Drosophila melanogaster: one gene and its partner. The protein of the gene in region 1 interacts with the protein of each later gene in a pairwise test. Each region holds a gene or a part of one and is shown on either strand. Other genes may lie near its edges.

Region 1 (6,043 bases):
TGATTCCCTGGACAGCAGTGCAAAGCCAACGCCGCCAGATAGTTCAAGTAACTAAAAATTAGATCTATTCTATTTATAGTATTATTTTCGTAAAAGTTTTAGACTACTTGCCTAGCGAATGGGAACATAAATAAAACGTTAAATCATTATATTGGCTTTTTTTGTTTCTATATTTTTTTAATTTCCTTTTTATAACTATGAATTAAATGTATATCGACAGATTAGAGAATTCTTATTTTAAAAAATATGATACGTGTTGTGAAAGCATTTAAAAGTTAGATTATTCTAAACACAAACTATCTCCCATTTAGTTATATTAATCGATGAGTACGAGGACTTCGAGGAGGAGGATCTTAACTGTGAGGGTGAAATGGATCATTTCCCCACTTGGGAGATCGACAGTGATATTGGCGTAGAAGTCGATGTGGACGCGGATGCCGATGGCGACTGTGATGAGTCCACCGAGGACACGGCGCTGCTGCAGTGTGCCACGCGCACCGCCATTGTTATAACACCAATTAGCCCAGTAAGTCTTGGAAGATTTGTTTCATTTCGTTAAGAATCTTTTTAAAACAAGTTAATAACAATTTCAGGTAAGCTCCGCACACAATCTTCAGCAATTAAATGACCAAACTACAACGCTTAATAAATCAAATTTGCTTCCGCCAGACTCTGGCTAGTTAATTGCAATTGAAATTAGCTAAAGTAGCCATTACATTATCACTAGAATTATATATTATATACTATGGAATGCATATTAATGTCATTTTGGGACATCATTTGTGTTCAATTAATTGGTAGCAAACAAATGAAAATCAAACTAAATAAATCTGTTTTAGCAGCAAATCTTACATTACCGAAATGTACCAGCCTTAATTCTGTGTGTCCTCATCTGGTATCTCGTCAATAAAATCGTCCGCCTCCTCGTCATCATCTTCCATCACTATGTCATCCCCATCTGCTTCCTCTATAAACTCATTATTTTCATTTAGGCGGCGCTTTTTAGATGTGGATGGCGCATCATCGGTGATGTATTCGTCCTCCTCAACCACATCCTCCTGGAGCAAAATGATGCCATCGTGAATCTTTCGGACATGCACATTCAACTGGGAACTGTTTACAAAAGTCCGTCCACAGCCGCCGTCGAAATAGTCGCGGCACGTGTATTTATCACCATGGGCTCGCTGCATGTGCGTCTTCAATCCTTGACTGCGTCCAAACCTCTTTTTACACACGTTGCACTCGAACGCGAATCGCTTGTAGTGCTGACCAAGAACATGAACAGAAAGGGACTTTTTGTTCCTGGTGGTGAAACTGCACTGTTCGCAGCTGTAAGACTGCCCATGAAGCTGCAGGAAATATGCTATTAATATGAACCGTTTGTGGATCCGTCTACTGCACTGACCTTTTGATGAGCTTCCATTTCACTCTTGTGATAAAAGCCCTTTTGACAGACACTGCAGGAATAGCGCTTCTTATTCGAATGCACCACATTGACATGAGTGTCATAATTTCGTCGGTTTTTGACGATTTTAAAGCACTCAGGACACTCTATTGGTTCATGCCAATAGGCATGGTGCTTGGCCAGAGCATCATGGCTTTTGTACGAAGAATTGCATAACGGACAAGTGACGTTGTCTTAAATATAAAATTATTTATTAAAAGAAGAACATATTATAAAGCACACCATACTTACCATTGTTATGACTCCTTGCCACATGAACAGACAAGGACATCTTTGACCGGCATTCCTTTAAGCAAAACTGGCAAACCCATTCCTGGGCAGACTTTGAACTCTTCTCGGCCTGCTTGCTCGCGGATTCGTGTGTGCGCCGCTTGTGTGTGTACAAGGAGTTCCAGTTCACGTAAGACTCTGTGCAGTTCTGAAAGGAGAGGAAATAATGTTATGATCAAACGTTCTGTGACCAAACGCAGGACAACTCACTTCCTGGTCGCACATGTAGTAAACACATATTTCTAGCCTGCGATGTGTTGAGTCCGATCGAAGTTGTTGATAGTTGCGCAGGTGATGGCGATAAAGTTTCATATGTGGGAATTCTTTGCCGCAGGGCTGACACAAAAACACTCCATCTTTATGTACCCCGGAATCGCGATGGGCTTGAAGACAGTCCTTTTCCTTGAAGTACGAGGAACAGTACTCGCACACATAAGCATCCCGTAGGAGTTCCACGTCTATCTTCGAGCCAAAACAGGCTGTCTTCACGGAATTTACATGGGCTAGGAGGGTTTCGCGGCTATCACTTAATAGACCGCAGGTGCTGCACACGTGCACATCTTTTTCGATGATCAGATGCTTCTTCATGTGAATATTGTAAGTAGCTTCGGTGGCAAATTCCCGGGAACAAAGTTCACAGCTTATTACACTGCCGTGCATGGCTCTCTGAAAGAAGGATTTCAATTACTTCCTGTACCACAAAGCGTATTCGAAGGATTTGATGTTTAGATTCATGCCCTACCATGTGTCCATTTAGCCGGCCCCGCGACTCAAAGTTGGCCATACATTCGCTGCAAGAGTAGGTCGTGCTGCTAACATTGGCATGCGACTTATTGTGCTCCATAAAAACGGAGGGGTCCCGGAAAGTGCGGTCGCAACTAGGGGATAAATAATTAATATAAATGTCTTAACAAGCATTTGTAATACTAACAGGTCGCAGAATAAGGTGCCCACTGGCTCATGAGAATAATTTAAATGCTGAAAAAGTTCATCTATGTTCGTGGTGGCATAGTCACAGACGAAGCAAGCTCTTGGTCTGTGCTTTTCTAAGTGAAACTGGCTGTGGAAATTAAAACTGTAAAGAAATATAAGTATTATTAGTATTGGTTTGGTTAACTTTAGAGAGAATAAACATACCGCTTCCAGGAAGGAAACTCCAGCGAACACATTTCACAATAAGAGCGAAAACCTCGCTTCTTTTTTATTACATGCGCGCAAGAATGCTTGTTGTACTGCAGAATGTTGGAGAACGTCAATTTACATTCCGGACAGCTGCCGTAGATCGGAATTCTAGGTAATACAAGCATCATATATATTACACAAATATTTCCTTTAGTAAATATAATTACTCAGCCACTGGCGCGTGCAACAAAACAAGATGCATGGCTAGGAATTTGCGACCTTTCAACTCCTTGTTGCATCCTTCGATGGGACACTCGTAGACATCTCTCCGGCTTTTGTGTGCCTTTGACAAGTGACTAAAAAGGCTCTCGAATGTGGGACATTTCAGAGAGCAGTGCTTGCACACAGTGCACCACTGAAATGTCAGCTTTTCAAAGCTCGTCTTCACCACGGTGGCCAAGTACTCCGGAATATTATCAACTTCATCCTCTGTAAATGTAAAGATATGTAGAATTGTGATTGCCTTTTAGTTTTTGATATTATACCCACTCTCTTTGATGTCCACAAAGTTAAACAGAACAACATTGCTAGTCTCTCCCTCGTCGATGTCATCATCGCTTTGACTTTCCTCAGCTTGAGCTACCAATCTAGACGAACAACTTATGGGTTTTACCTTAACATTGTCCAAATTTGGATCCATAACATCTAGAACAATTTAAGTGTTACTTAATGGACGGAAAAGGTAAAATTAAAACAAACCCTCATGCTCGTATATGTAAACATTCTCATCCGGATTGGTGTCTGTCACAGCCTCGCTGTTTAGGATGACTATTTGGCCAGGGGCTTCTGTTTCCTCTGTGACCTGGACAGCTTCACTGGACTCCTCTTTCACTGCGGTCTCATCCTCAACAACAGCTTCCTCTTCGTCCAGAATATTTTGTATAAGCACACTAAAATGTTCCTGATCTGCTACTTTAGAAACCAGTTTTGGCTCACTTTTGGAAACAGCATCTTCGGTGGAAGGCGTCTCTGGTGGCTCTGGAGATCTAGATGTATCAGGCGTTACATTGGAAGCAGCAGCCGCTCTATTCCTTATCCGGGCACTCGGTTCCCGGGTGGGAATAATGGGCACTGGTCGCAGAACCTTAGTCAGGGGCCTTGAAGGCACTGTTTTCTTGGCTGGTTTCGCAGCTGGTGGAGTTGCCTGGACCTCGGTAATAATAATGGGGTCCTCCTCTGCCTTGGAATCTTTGCCCTGGGCCGCATCCTTCGCAGCTTCCCGTTCTCTTTCCAGTTCATCGATGTCAAAGAGGCGAATGAGATTGGTGACACACACTTCGCACAGGAGTTGCTGCTTCTGCGGATCGGGCGACACTTCGAGCTGGTAATGCCTGGACAGCAGGGACTGCAGTCCCAGTTCGATTCCAAACTCATCGAAGATCTCCTGGTACTGGTATTTCGTACTGAATACGCTGCAATGCAGGCAGCTATTGTTTTTCGCGTTTTCCGACATCTTAATCTTTGTCCGTCAGCAAATTGTAGGCGTTATGGCATTTCTGGTTTGTTTTTTAGTGTTACCTTTCCGTACCAGCAGCTGTCTGGTATTTTCCGCAGTGTGACTGTCTTGCGCAGATTTCTAAAACCGTTACCACGATTTGAAAATAGTGTGAAAATAAATAGGCATAAAAAGTAAATAAAAGATTTAGGAAACCCCAAGGAAAGAAGACACAATTAGTTTTTCGAACTATATAATAAGCAACTGCTAATTTCTACACAATAATTTCATTTAATGTACGTGCATAACGTTTTGAGTGCTTTTAAAAATCGGCTTGAAAATCTTTAGGTGCTGCGGTGTTTCGAAATTTAACTGTTGACGCGCTTCAGCAGTGCGAAGTAGCTGTAGGAGCAGTTGACGATCTGAAAGGAGAAGAGCATAACCAGTAATAAATGATATATAAAGGAATTTCTGCTGCCCTACAGAACCAAAGGCCTCCAAGCTGAAAGCAAAGGTGGGGTTAAAGGTGCTCAGGAGCATCGGGGAATTAAAGCGCTGCATCATGAGAAGGACAATCCGGCGGTTTGCCCTGTTCCATCCCGTCCATTGGGAGCTGTAGATGCTGTGACACAACCTAGAGCTCTGGACAGTTACCTCGTTGGAGGCGTAGCAAATGATGAAGATCTGCCAGAGCATCACCAGCTGATAGATACAGGTCTTGAGCATAAAGATGGCATCGCCGTTTGCAATGGACATGGTGGACATGTCGTACAGGTTGGACACCAGCACCAGAACAGAACACATGAGCTGCACAGATCCTGGCCCCTTTATGAACAGCTCCACCAGGTCCTTGAAACGAACAATCCTGTTGTAGTAGGCGGCACACTCACGCAGTTCCATTGCGATTTTCTCATTATCCTGGGGTTCGATCACAGGACCCAACTTTTCTAATCGCAGGACCAGCATTTGTAGCTGAACCTTCAAGAAACAGAGCAACGAGTAGGCCACCGAGTCGTAGGTTATATTCAGCACACAAGTGGGCAGCAGGCAAATCGAGTGGAAAAGGTACTGCGACCAATAGCAGATCCATCCCTCGATGCTGCATACCTCCAACATGGCCAGTGGTAGCTCGCCAAAGTTGTCGAAACAGGGAACTATAAGGATCAGGGAAGCCGCGCCCAGGGACATGATGCCGTAGGAGTTCCTCATGCGGACAACCGCCACTCTATCCAATTCCAGCATCTGCATTTCCTGTTCACTTTTAACGCCGAACTCTGGGGACAACATCGCATCAACCAAGCCAGCGAGTTTGCGGCTCTTCAACTTCAAATGCAATAATTTGGCCATGCAGGATATTTCCGTGGCGAACATGAAGAATACCTTTAGGATCTCCCTAACTTGGGAAATGTTGTTCAACATTTCGAAGGAGAAAAGCAGCAGCATGATGAACAGGATGACCAGGATGAAGCCAAACCTCATGGACTGAAAACGACGCTGGTGGTCTGCGGCCCAAGTGGGGAGCTGCCAAACACCAAGGATTTGGAAGTACCACACCTGGTACTTATAAAAGTCCTCCGTAACCATCTGATGCTGAGACATGCTGACAATTTTCACTTTTCCATCATGAACCGCACGAGGAAAGCCTTTTATAGGCCACGAACTTAAATTCGCTAATGAGCCTCATTATGGAA
Region 2 (3,200 bases), on another chromosome or scaffold:
GTAAATGCTTTATAATTTTATTTGCTGCGCCCAGTGAACTAATAGCCCCATCCCGCAGTGTACCAAGATGTCCGCATCCGCTGCCCGAGGCTCCACATCGCTGCTGAAGCGCGCCTGGAACGAGATTCCGGACATCGTCGGCGGATCCGCTTTGGCCCTCGCCGGAATCGTTATGGCCACCATCGGAGTGGCCAACTACTATGCCAAGGACGGCGATAACCGACGCTACAAGCTCGGCTACGTTGTCTACCGCCACGACGATCCGCGCGCCCTGAAGGTGCGCAACGACGAGGATGACTAGAGGAGTTGGACCCTTCGGAAAAATCCTGTCGGCTTTCATCTTTGATTTTTTTTTGTTTACTCTAAAGCTAAGTAAAACAAACATCCAAATGTACAAAAGCCAGTGTTCAGTGGTTCAACTATAGCGGGTAGTAGTTTTCCAGGTTTTTTTTGTGTTTCATACTTACACAAATGCACTCTATATCCCTACAATTGCAACGTTTTGGGTTTAAAAACTCAAAGAAGGCACTTGTATAAAGAGAAGGAATATATATATATATTCCTAATTTAAAATTAATTTCACAAAAGATTTATACACTTAAAACCAAATTACAAGTAAGGGAAAAAACAGACAGTTCTCTAAAGATCCTTGTGCGAGAACTTTAAGTGAAATTTGCAGGCCTTCTCCGTGTAAAAACATTCGCCGCAGAAGCCGCACTTGAAGGCCGGTCCGGAGTCGCTGCTGAACTCGTTGGTGGGAGTAGCAGCTGCTGGGGAAGATTGAGAAGTTTGAAATCTACCTAGCCTAGATAAGAAAATTGTACACCCACCTCTTTTGGTCGACACTGCTTCCGCCAGCACCGTGGGCAGTTGCTCATTCTTCGGTTCCACCGGATGAGTTTGGGTTTGCGTGTGCGACTGGGATTTGCTGGCCTGGCTGCGCCTTCGGCGCTGCTCGAACTTTAGGGCCACGTTGAACTCGCCGTGGGCGCCCAGCCACTGGTGGCTGAACTCGTAGGCCATCGACAGCTTCTTCACGCAGATGCGGCAGATCTGTTTGGGATAGTCGTCCTCTGGGTCCAGTGGCGGCAAGGAGGCGGGCAGGCAGGACGCTAGCATATCCGCAATGGGCACCATCTGGTCAAGCACTTGGGCACACTCATTGTAAATGGACAGCGATTCCAGGCATTCGTTTCCGCACGTGCGACAGAAGCTCTCGAATATGTCCATTATGGTTGTTGCTAAGGAATGTTATTCACAATCTAAAATTTGAATTAAAATGTTTTGTTTATAAATTGGCTAGTAAATGTAATCGATTATTAATCAAATCATCGATTTTTTATAATTTCTTGAATTCCTTCTGGTATATTTGTATATATTTTGGCACACCCTACCAGTATTCGGCCACACTGACAGCCAGTCATTTTTTTTTTTCAAGAAAAGCCGGAGAGAATTTTGTGTTTTAGTTGGATAAAATGATGTGGAAGGCTCTCCTGATCGCCGTTTTGGCGATTGCCCACTGCCAGGCGGTACTGGAAACGGACGCCAACACCTTGGTTCTGCTGGACAACCTGGCCATCCGGGAAACCCACTCGATCTTCTTCAAATCGCTGCAGGGTGAGTGAAAATGCCGGTTAACCTCTGACGTGGACAATGAAATGTGTTGATAATTGTTTAACTTTGGGCTACAGATCGCGGATTTAAGCTCACCTACAAACTGGCGGATGACTCCAGCCTGCTGCTGTCCAAATACGGTGAATATCTGTACAAGAACGTCATCATATTCGCACCAAGTGTCGAGGAATTCGGCGGCGATGTGAGCGTGGAGCGTTTGGCCCAGTTCGTCGACGATGGCGGCAATGTTCTGGTGGCGGGCAGCGAGAAATCCGGCGACGCGCTAAGGGAATTCGCCTCCGAGTGCGGCTTCGAGCTGGACGAGGAGAATGCGGCGGTCATTGACCATCTGCACTACGATGTTAGCGATGCTGGCGAGCACACAACCATCCTGACCTCCGCCAAGAATCTTATACAGGCCGACACCATTGTGGGCAAGGCCAACAGGCAGGCGGATGCCGCACCGCTGCTCTATCGCGGTACAGGACTGATTGCCGACAAGGAGAACCCGCTGGTACTCAAGCTGCTGACCGCCGAGAGCACCGCCTATAGCTACAATCCCGAGGCAAGTGTCTCCGACTATCCGCATGCCGTTGGCCGAGGCACGCTGCTAATCGCCGCCCTGCAGGCGAGGAACAATGCCCGCGTAGTGTTCTCCGGCTCGCTGCTCTTCTTCTCTGACGAGAGCTTCACAACGGCCGTGCAGTACGCACAGAGCGGTGTGTTCCACAAGCTGGCCGGTAATCGCGACGTGGCCGAGTCCATTAGCAAGTGGGTATTTGGAGAGACTGGCCGCTTGCGCGTGGCATCCGTGCAACATCACAAGGAGGGCGAGCTGCTGCCACCGGATCAGGCGTACACCATCACCGATCCGGTCGTCTACACCATCGGCATCGAGGAGCTGGTGCAGGGCGAGTGGCGCGCCTTTAAGGCCAGCGACATTCAACTGGAGTTCGTGCGCATCGATCCCTTCGTCCGCACCTATCTGAAGCAAACGAACACGGGCGCCTACCAGGCCAAATTCAAGATACCCGACGTCTACGGCGTTTATCAGTTCAAGGTGGACTACAATCGCGTGGGCTACACGCATCTGTACAGCACCACCCAGGTGTCGGTGCGTCCGCTGGAGCACACACAGTACGAGCGCTTTATCCCGAGCGCATTCCCCTACTACACCAGCGCCTTCTCAATGATGATCGGCGTGTTTGTCTTCTCATTCGTGTTCCTTCACTTCAAGGATGAGCCCGTGGGCAGGGCCGCCAAGGAGGACAAGAAGTCGCAGTAGTATGCACGTTCGTTCAACTCAAATGTAACACACAATGCACTAAAATAAAGTTCTCTGCAGAGAGAAACCCACAATCCATAAAAGAACTTGGCTTTTTTTTTGCTTAATGAAGCTTATATTTCATTAAAATTAGCAGAGTCCAACCCATTAAAACATATTCATTTTTAATCTTAGGTTGGAGTTAAAAAAATTTTAAAAAGTTATAAAAATGTAATTAGCAAAGAACAGAACCAAACTATTTGGCGGGCATGGTCTTGTCAGACAATCGAGTGTAATCGAATACAATCGAAGTAGGCCTTCG

The links. Proteins that work in one complex are often made in the same cells at the same time.
Region 2: the proteins of CG18011 (region 1) and Dlip1 interact in a two-hybrid assay, tested with the Drosophila melanogaster proteins (2 studies listed by BioGRID).

The regions. Positions count from the first base shown.
Region 1 is NT_033778.4:10,140,712-10,146,754, reverse strand, and holds CG18011 (uncharacterized protein), read right to left. Parts: upstream 4,418-6,043; 5' UTR 4,371-4,417; coding exon 3,617-4,370; intron 3,563-3,616; coding exon 3,407-3,562; intron 3,347-3,406; coding exon 3,085-3,346; intron 3,026-3,084; coding exon 2,873-3,025; intron 2,811-2,872; coding exon 2,667-2,810; intron 2,614-2,666; coding exon 2,478-2,613; intron 2,402-2,477; coding exon 1,946-2,401; intron 1,884-1,945; coding exon 1,697-1,883; intron 1,639-1,696; coding exon 1,406-1,638; intron 1,350-1,405; coding exon 873-1,349; 3' UTR 681-872; coding exon of another isoform or gene 594-680; 3' UTR 549-593; downstream 1-548. Other genes in the region: KCNQ potassium channel, read left to right, coding at 1-47, 312-526, 594-680; Or46a (odorant receptor 46a), read right to left, coding at 4,721-4,774, 4,836-5,936.
Region 2 is NC_004354.4:9,156,707-9,159,906, reverse strand, and holds Dlip1 (dorsal interacting protein 1), read right to left. Parts: upstream 1,286-3,200; 5' UTR 1,231-1,285; coding exon 831-1,230; intron 771-830; coding exon 640-770; 3' UTR 532-639; downstream 1-531. Other genes in the region: NdufA3 (NADH:ubiquinone oxidoreductase subunit A3), read left to right, coding at 68-301; Ost48 (oligosaccharyltransferase 48kD subunit), read left to right, coding at 1,476-1,617, 1,692-2,899.